2 linked regions of the Saccharomyces cerevisiae S288C genome follow. The gene in region 1 interacts genetically with each later gene. Each region holds a gene or a part of one and is shown in the gene's direction. Other genes may lie near its edges. The genes, in order: AVT1 and PKH3.

The links.
Region 2: mutations in AVT1 (region 1) and PKH3 together harm fitness more than expected from each alone (negative genetic interaction), as found in Saccharomyces cerevisiae (2 studies listed by BioGRID).

What each region holds. Positions count from the first base shown.
Region 1 is NC_001142.9:435,145-439,405, forward strand, and holds AVT1 (Avt1p), read left to right. Parts: upstream 1-1,657; coding exon 1,658-3,466; downstream 3,467-4,261. Other genes in the region: PRE3 (proteasome core particle subunit beta 1), read left to right, coding at 19-83, 200-782; rRNA-processing protein MPP10, read left to right, coding at 3,721-4,261.
Region 2 is NC_001136.10:1,393,001-1,398,337, forward strand, and holds PKH3 (protein kinase PKH3), read left to right. Parts: upstream 1-2,120; coding exon 2,121-4,817; downstream 4,818-5,337. Other genes in the region: SPP41 (Spp41p), read left to right, coding at 1-179; RMT2 (protein-arginine N5-methyltransferase), read right to left, coding at 336-1,574; TLG1 (Tlg1p), read right to left, coding at 5,026-5,337. UniProt on the Saccharomyces cerevisiae protein: Serine/threonine-protein kinase which may phosphorylate the same targets substrates as PKH1 and PKH2, 2 upstream activators of PKC1.

The sequences.
Region 1 (4,261 bases):
TACACACAGAAAGTTAACATGAATGGAATTCAAGTGGACATCAATCGTTTGAAAAAGGGCGAAGTCAGTTTAGGTACCTCAATGTATGTATATAAGAATTTTTCCTCCCACTTTATTGTTTCTAAAAGTTCAATGAAGTAAAGTCTCAATTGGCCTTATTACTAACTAATAGGTATCTTATAATCACCTAATAAAATAGTATGGCCGTGACATTTAAGGATGGTGTGATACTAGGTGCTGATTCACGTACCACCACTGGTGCGTACATAGCTAACCGTGTGACAGATAAATTAACGAGAGTACATGACAAAATTTGGTGTTGTAGGTCCGGTTCTGCAGCAGACACGCAGGCGATTGCCGACATTGTTCAGTACCATTTGGAATTATATACTTCTCAATATGGTACCCCCTCCACAGAGACTGCTGCCTCGGTGTTCAAAGAATTATGTTACGAAAATAAAGATAACCTTACTGCTGGTATAATTGTGGCTGGTTATGATGACAAAAACAAAGGGGAAGTATATACTATTCCATTGGGTGGCTCCGTCCATAAGCTGCCTTATGCGATAGCAGGATCTGGCTCTACTTTCATATATGGGTATTGTGATAAAAACTTTAGAGAAAATATGTCAAAGGAAGAAACCGTAGATTTCATAAAGCATTCGCTATCGCAAGCCATTAAATGGGACGGATCTTCCGGTGGTGTTATAAGAATGGTTGTTTTGACAGCTGCTGGTGTGGAACGTTTGATATTCTACCCTGATGAATATGAACAACTATAATAGACCCCAAAAGAACAAATTCTGAGTGATTACTTCTCTTTATATTTGTTAACAAATGCCTCTGGATCTACACTGATATAACATATAATAGTCTATAACCTCTTTCTCTTTTTCTCTTCGCTTTACGCTTTTTTCTCTAACTGTTAGAACGACAAAGTATCTCAGAAGGGAATTTCGTAAGCAAGATATTTTACGACTAATCATTTTTTTGTTGTATAAAAACGTATGTGAGATTGATTCACTAATTCTTCGGAGTCCTGGAAGGCTTACCTTATCTATGCATTCGTACAGTTGTGTGCAATGTTAAAAATGGTGACTGTATCTACGTATCTATAAAAAAAGGTTAACTACCGGAAAATCATTTCTTCTCGTAAAGTGTATATTTAGGTTCGGAAATCATAAACATTGTTTTTTTGTGTTTTTTATTTTTAAATAAAAAGAATAAATATTTTATATTAAAAAATAAATTTTAAAGTAAATTAATTATTTAACACGTGATTAAGTTACTCTAATATAATCCTATTTAATAATTAGTAGAGTTGTTGAGAACGAGTATAATATTATTTTTTTTTTATTTTTTTGTAGGTTCTTTGGCCATCCTAAATAGAATAAGCATCCACAACAACTAAACTGGTATTTTGTTATACACAACGCGTCTTGGTTAGGCATCTGTTTTGTTTTAGCTATTGTTCATCGCGTTTTTTTTTTTCTTATCTCTTTTACCGAGGGGCGAAAATAGCGATAGATCGAGAATATAAATAAATAAAATATTGTTGTGTTGTGTAGTTCTAAAGAAAAATTTTACAGTGAAAAGGTAACACCGGGGAGTCATTACGTAGACTTACGTATTCTGTATAACTGATTCCGAGACGCAAATGCCTGAGCAAGAACCATTGAGTCCCAATGGCCGTAAGCGCTCTGAGGTTCACTATATCTCAATCCCATTGAACAGAGGTTCCGCATTCTCACCAGATGATTCTGTATCACAGTTTCAGTCTGACGGGTTCATGACACGTAGGCAATCCATATTGGACCATCCTGTGGGCTCATTTAAGGGAGTTAATTCTTTAAGTCGATTTGCGACTTCGTTGAGGAGAGCCAATTCGTTTCGTAATATCGAGCTAAATGCGGATAATGAAAGATCCTTTTTCAAAGAGAGTAACGATGAAACCTACGATCCGGATACTTTAGCACCAGCTTTGGACGGTAGAAGATTATCAGTAACTTTAAATAATGCTGGTCGCCCGCGCATTACTAATTTGGCTAACAACGATAGAGTTAGTACAGCCAGCATGGCTATTCACGATGATGATTATGGGTCCATCCAAAATTCAACAATTGGGGATTCTGGGTCAATATTACGCCCTACTGCCTCCTTAACAGAAATGATGAGTGGTGGAGCGGGGAGAAGGTTTACAAATAATGACATGGATTCAATTGTAGTGAAGAGAGTGGAGGGTGTAGATGGTAAGGTAGTAACTCTTCTTGCTGGTCAGTCGACCGCTCCACAGACCATATTCAACTCAATCAATGTACTGATTGGTATTGGGCTCCTGGCGTTACCTCTTGGTTTGAAATACGCCGGCTGGGTTATAGGACTTACTATGCTTGCAATCTTCGCCTTAGCGACATTTTGTACTGCTGAACTTTTGTCTAGGTGCCTAGATACAGATCCAACTTTGATATCTTACGCGGACTTGGGATATGCAGCATTTGGTACAAAAGGGCGCGCACTAATTTCTGCTCTTTTCACACTTGACCTACTGGGTAGTGGGGTGTCCTTGGTGATTCTCTTCGGAGATTCTTTAAATGCTCTATTTCCTCAATACTCCACCACTTTTTTCAAAATAGTTTCATTTTTTATCGTTACACCCCCGGTTTTTATACCATTGAGTGTTCTATCTAATATCTCGCTTCTGGGAATCCTTTCAACAACCGGAACTGTGCTAGTCATTTGCTGCTGCGGACTATACAAGTCGTCTTCTCCAGGTTCATTAGTTAATCCGATGGAAACGAGCATGTGGCCGATAGATCTAAAGCATCTCTGTTTATCTATAGGTTTATTGAGTGCCTGCTGGGGAGGACATGCGGTTTTTCCCAACTTAAAGACAGATATGAGGCATCCAGATAAATTTAAAGACTGTTTGAAAACTACCTATAAGATAACATCGGTTACGGACATAGGTACTGCAGTTATTGGCTTTTTGATGTTTGGAAATCTTGTTAAAGATGAAATTACTAAGAACGTTTTGCTGACGGAGGGATATCCAAAATTCGTTTATGGTCTGATTTCAGCGCTTATGACTATCATTCCTATCGCAAAGACCCCATTGAACGCAAGACCTATCGTTTCTGTATTGGACGTTCTGATGAATGTGCAACACATAGATGAAGCGGCCAGCGCCATAAAAAGAAGAGCTGCGAAAGGCCTTCAAGTATTCAATAGGATCTTTATTAATGTTGTCTTCGTTTTGATAGCTATTAATTTCCCTGAATTTGATAAGATTATCGCATTTCTGGGGGCCGGTTTGTGTTTTACAATTTGCCTAATTTTGCCGTGTTGGTTCTATTTAAGATTGTGCAAGACAACAATCAAACCATGGGAGAGAGTGGCTTGTCACGTAACCATATGTATTAGTGTCGTGTTGTCCACATTAGGTGTTGGTGCTGCAATTATTTCATAATCGACGAGGGGCATACTTACTCTACTTAAAATTCATTTACATTAGCTCTGTACTTCTGATAATGAAAAACCATTGCGTAATATACATATTTTCGTGTAGAATTATTTCCATAAAATATTCACCGCCTTTTCTGTACTGGCCGCCGGCATGCGAGGGAAGCAGAAAATTTTCAATTTTGCGATGAGCTCTTGAAGAAACAGTGTTTTGTTATGAATAAATGATGTGTGCACGAAAGACCCAAGGAAAGTCGTATAATGTCAGAACTCTTTGGAGTATTGAAATCTAATGCTGGCAGAATTATTTTGAAGGACCCCTCCGCCACTTCTAAAGATGTTAAAGCATATATAGATTCAGTTATCAATACCTGTAAGAATGGGAGTATTACAAAGAAAGCAGAACTGGACGAAATCACTGTTGATGGTTTAGACGCCAATCAAGTTTGGTGGCAGGTCAAACTAGTTCTTGATAGTATTGATGGTGATCTAATTCAAGGAATTCAAGAACTCAAAGATGTTGTCACGCCTTCTCACAATCTCTCTGATGGTAGCACCCTGAACTCATCATCCGGGGAAGAAAGTGAACTAGAGGAGGCAGAAAGTGTTTTTAAAGAAAAGCAGATGCTCTCTGCTGATGTTTCTGAGATTGAGGAGCAGAGTAATGATAGTCTTTCCGAGAACGATGAAGAACCTAGTATGGATGACGAAAAAACCAGTGCAGAGGCAGCTAGAGAAGAATTTGCGGAGGAAAAAAGAATTTCTTCTGGGCAAGATGAAAGGCATTCTTCACCCGATCCTT
Region 2 (5,337 bases), on another chromosome or scaffold:
AAGCAAACAACACGAAGATTGTGATTGACGACAAGGAGATTTTGAATATTCTTGCGGTAAACATGAATAACCTTAACAAAGCACGCTGTATTGAAAAAGATATTCAAGAGTCGTTCAGGGAGGAGAAGTTAGCCTCTTTACAACCAAAGAAGAAGAGAAAGAAAAGCATTTTACACTGAGGTGTTACTAGACATAATTTAGTTCATATGTCCATTTCTGCATAATCATATATACTTAAAGTAGCAAATGTATATAGTTTTTTCTTCCGATTTTCGAAACTAATATTAGTATTGGAAATCGGCCCCTGCCATTGTGCAATTTACATTATTCTATAATTAAGCAAACGTGATACGTGGATGGTAATAATAGTTACAGTTAAAGTAAGACCGCTTAACATCATTCCAATCTGGCAATTGCTCGTCAAGAGAATATCTGGTGTAATCGCATTTCATACCATATGTAGCAACATCGATCTCAACAATTTCTTTATATACATCGTAACACAACGATCTGTCAGCGCCTAATCCGTTGAAAAATGAGAAAACGCCTTCTGGTTTAATTAAACCTACCACGACATCGTATAAGTCCAATATGTCTTGGTAGTGCTCGCTAAATGTATCATAATAAATACCATCAAAGAAAACTTCACCTTTGTCTAATAAATTATTCAACGTATCTTGCCATCTTCCCTCTAAAATAACCACATTATCCTTTTCATACCAACCATCCATTTTCATCTTGGCCAAAACATCTGGATGAGCTTCGCAAATATAGTGACGATATGGTTTTCGAGCTTGGATGAATGTATCGATGATCCCCATTCCAAATCCAATGTTTAAGATCGTAGCAGAATTAGTGGCCTCTGGATCAGGAAATAAGGTTTCGGAAGCAAGTTCCATAATCTTGGTTTCCCAATCCATCATAACACCGTCCTTATTTTCCTTTGTGATAAGCGCATCGTCTTTGTACTCTAGTTCTGTTTTTAAGTACACTTGTTGATTTGCCGCGGTAGCATCGTCATCACTACCAACTGATTCTTCTTTTTGACCATCAACTGCTGTTTGAACGCTTTCCTCAGGCTCGATACCTATTAGTTCATCTGTATCCAAGAATTCGACGTCGCCACCATTGAGTTTTCTCAGTAATAATTCAGCAGACACACCAGCTTCCACGAGCCGTCTATAAAGAGGGCTCTCCCTACTTTGATTTCTCTCTAAAAACAAATCACCCACTGTTTTGTCCTCGTAGTCAATAAAATTCCATCCAGCCCCATACTCAAAAAGAATATTCATCATATCCATCACCACTTGCAGTTCCTCATCCTTGATATCCAAGGGTAGCGATCTTGCTAAAACGTGTAACGGCGTTGTGTTTGAGGTTTTATTGTCGTCAGTGCTCTCTCTGAATTCCTTATCCCCGTTCCTGTTCTTTTCCTCATGCTCGAAGGCTGCGACCTGCTCCAAAGTATATGTAGCCGGTATACCAGATTTTAAGAAATGCTGCAGTTTTGGTACATAGTAACTTTGAGAAATGGGCCTCTCTGGGAAAGTAAGCAAAGCATGTAATTCTGACATACTTGAATATATTAAAAGTCCTTGGTGTAAACACCTAGCCGTTGCAACTGCTGGGTATTGTCAATGTCATTTTGCTTTACGCTTAGCTTAAAATGAGATGAGATGAGCTTTGAAAAATTTTAGAAAAAGAAAGGTGCCATCGATTCTCGCCGAAAAAGGAAAAGAATCGTTATAATCCTTCGAATCCTATATACACTAAACAAATATCTGCATTGGTCAACCCCAAGCACACGTACTGATGACTAGAGATGATACTGAAAGTGTTAACAATATAACTTCCTTACTCGCAGCTAATGTCACATATTGAGGTAACAATGGATCGAAACAATTTTCATGCTTACCCGCGCGGTGATTTCTTGGTAGCGAAGGGGTTTTCATGAAGGCAGCAGAAGAGAGGTACATTGATTTGAAAGTGTGAGGAAACAGAATAATAGTGCCTAAAGCCTAACCCAAGCAAGTAAGCAGTTCTTCCACGTCTTATCTATTCAGAGGCTGAAACAATTGAGTGAAAATTTAAAGAGTAGGTGTGGGACATTGGTATGACATATGACGTCTAGGAAAAGGTCTCCGCACGATTTCATATTTAAAGAGGAACTGGGCCATGGCTCTTACTCTACTGTGTTTAAAGCTCTAGATAAAAAAAGCCCGAATAAAATTTATGCCATTAAAGTTTGTTCGAAGAAACACATAATCAAAGAAGCTAAGGTAAAATATGTCACCATTGAAAAGAATACCATGAATTTGTTGGCACAAAAGCATCACGCGGGTATAATCAAACTATACTATACTTTTCACGATGAGGAAAATCTTTATTTTGTTTTGGATTTTGCCCCAGGTGGAGAACTACTTTCCTTATTGCACAAAATGGGTACTTTCAATGATATATGGACGCGTCATTTCACTGCACAGTTAATTGATGCATTAGAATTTATCCATTCACATGGCATCATTCATAGAGACTTAAAACCGGAAAACGTCCTTTTAGACAGGGATGGTAGACTTATGATTACTGATTTTGGGGCCGCTGCCACCATAGACCCTAGTTTAAGCGGAGATTCGGCCAAGTTTAACTCTGACAGCAACGGCTCAAAAGACAACCAAAATTGCGCTTCCTTTGTTGGTACTGCCGAATATGTCTCTCCAGAGCTGCTTTTATACAACCAATGCGGTTATGGCTCAGATATATGGGCACTAGGTTGCATGATATATCAGTTTGTCCAAGGACAACCGCCGTTTAGAGGGGAGAATGAGCTGAAGACATTTGAAAAAATCGTAGCATTAGATTATCCATGGGGACCCAATAACCGCATCAATAATAGCACATCACCAATAAATCCCCTTGTAATAAACTTAGTACAAAAAATATTGGTGATAGAGGTCAATGAGAGAATCTCTCTCGAACAGATAAAAAGACACCCATATTTTTCAAAAGTAGATTGGAATGATAAAATCAAAATATGGAGAGGAATCTGGCAATCACAAGGACAATCGCTGCAACAAACTACTTTGGGACTCCCAAATATACCGCAGAATATACTACCCACCAGACAATTACATGTAATTGACACTCCAGCACGAAGTATACAAATCACAAAACAAAAACGTAAGAAACCAACGAAAATTTCCAACACTACTAGTAGCATAGTAGTATGGAGAAAAAGGCTTGGTATATCAACAGGTAAGGATGATTTAGGCACCGTACCGTCCACTACGCCTGCAGTGACCGCCCCTAATGATACCAATGTATTAACAAATACGGCGGCACATTCTACTGCAAATATTGCCTTACCGCCTAATTCACAATCCAATCAAGTCAAGCGAGCACAACTAGTTGCACCAAATAGAATACCTCCCAAAGTACCGGTAATTAATGACAACGTGAGAAATAAGTCAATTCCGCGCACAAAGCCTAATGTGCCACCTTTGCAAACATCATCAATACCACAAAAGTTGTCAACATCGTCAGCATCGTCAGCTCTATCGGCGCCGTCAACAGAGATAAGGAACCAGGACTTAACACACACTTTAGATGGAAGAAACTCAATTGATATTCATGTTTTAAAACAAGACTACGTCTTCATTTATGGCATTCCATATGAACACGAAGGGCCTGCTATGTCTTTGAACAGCTACAATAAGATCGATAATGATTTAATTACGTCACTAGTTGCGCAGCATAAAGAAGAATTAAAAAACTCAGAGTCGTTTTTACAGGTATTGACTTTGAAGAAGAGCGGAATGTTAAGTTACAAAAACACAGTTATGGAGGGAAATGATGATCAAGAAAACAAAGAACACCAGATGGCTAATATAGAAGATACAGACTTGTCCATGTACGATTTTGAATTCAATGAGTTGACAAGGAAGGGTTTTTTAATCCTGGAAAAATATAAGAATAGAATATGGTTTATCTCGCTACCTTCATATTCAACGTTATCCAAAATACCATTCAATGCCGTGAAGTCTTCGACAATAAATAACAATGAAAATTGGGTCGATTGCTTTTTCAGAGCAAGACAACTACTAGAAGAAAAGCAAATTCTTGATAAAATCAGTAACGTTTCCTTTGATAGTAAGGCATCGAGTGAACCATCATCACCTCCGCCTATTTCAAGAAAAGAGCGGCCTCTGAGTATAGGAAATAATGTAACAACACTCAGCTATACTGCAAAAAATGGAAGCCAGAACAATGCACCACAAAACGATAATGTTGGAGAAGAAAAACCTTTTCGCATACCTAGTAGTACCAAGGATAGGCCCGGTGCAAATTCCACTCCTTCTTCAAGACATCCTAGGGTTTTGTCAAGCAATAACGCTGGTGAAACTCCGAAAAAAATGAATGGAAGATTACCAAATAGTGCACCTTCTACCAATACATATACCAACGGTTCGGTCCCAGCTTTTAATCATAGGCCTTCTACTAATGTAGGGAACAATAAGCATAATATTTTAACTTCGAAGAAGCAGGGATCATCCGTATTTTCTCCTTCATCTTCTACGACCAAGCCTCAAATCAAAACAACAGGATATCGACAGCCAACACCTTCACCTCCACTTCCGCAAATGGAATTCCCAACTACGAGAGAAAAGTATTCTGCTCCTTCTAACATGGTGATCAGTAGCAGCAGATACGAGGTCTTACATACCCTTAATAACAGCCAAACAAACTTTGATAGGGAAATTGCTAGTAGGGGTGCCTCAGCAGCATTTAGAAGTTTACAGAAGAGTAAGAAAAAAAAATAACACGCTTTAATAATATTTGTGGTTCCTCTACTTCGAAACAAAAAAATATGCACGAGTTGTTGACGATCCAGAAAAACCAACATATAAATCATATCCAAACCCTTGTAGCATTAATATCCGTATCACTTATGTATTCAGAATGCATGTATTTTATATATGCCCAGTATATCTTCGATTGAAGCTCTTCGGCATTAGTGCATTGTATTTTTCAAGCAATGAATGCCAAAACTAATAAAACTATCAAGACGACAATAAGAAGTCCTATACAACAATCGTCGTATTTTTCTTTATTTTTTTCGTAGACCCATTCCAATTGCCTACGACCTCTAGCCAGCTTATTTACAACACCGTCCATACCCTCGTCCATATTATCCAACAATTGTCCCTGGTTCTCTAATTCATCCCCCATTGTTTGAGCTTGAATATGCAAATTTTGCATTGTCTTGTGAATACCATCTAAATGAACATCTTGTTCTCTTAACATTTGTTCCTGAAACGGATTGGACATACCACCATCATT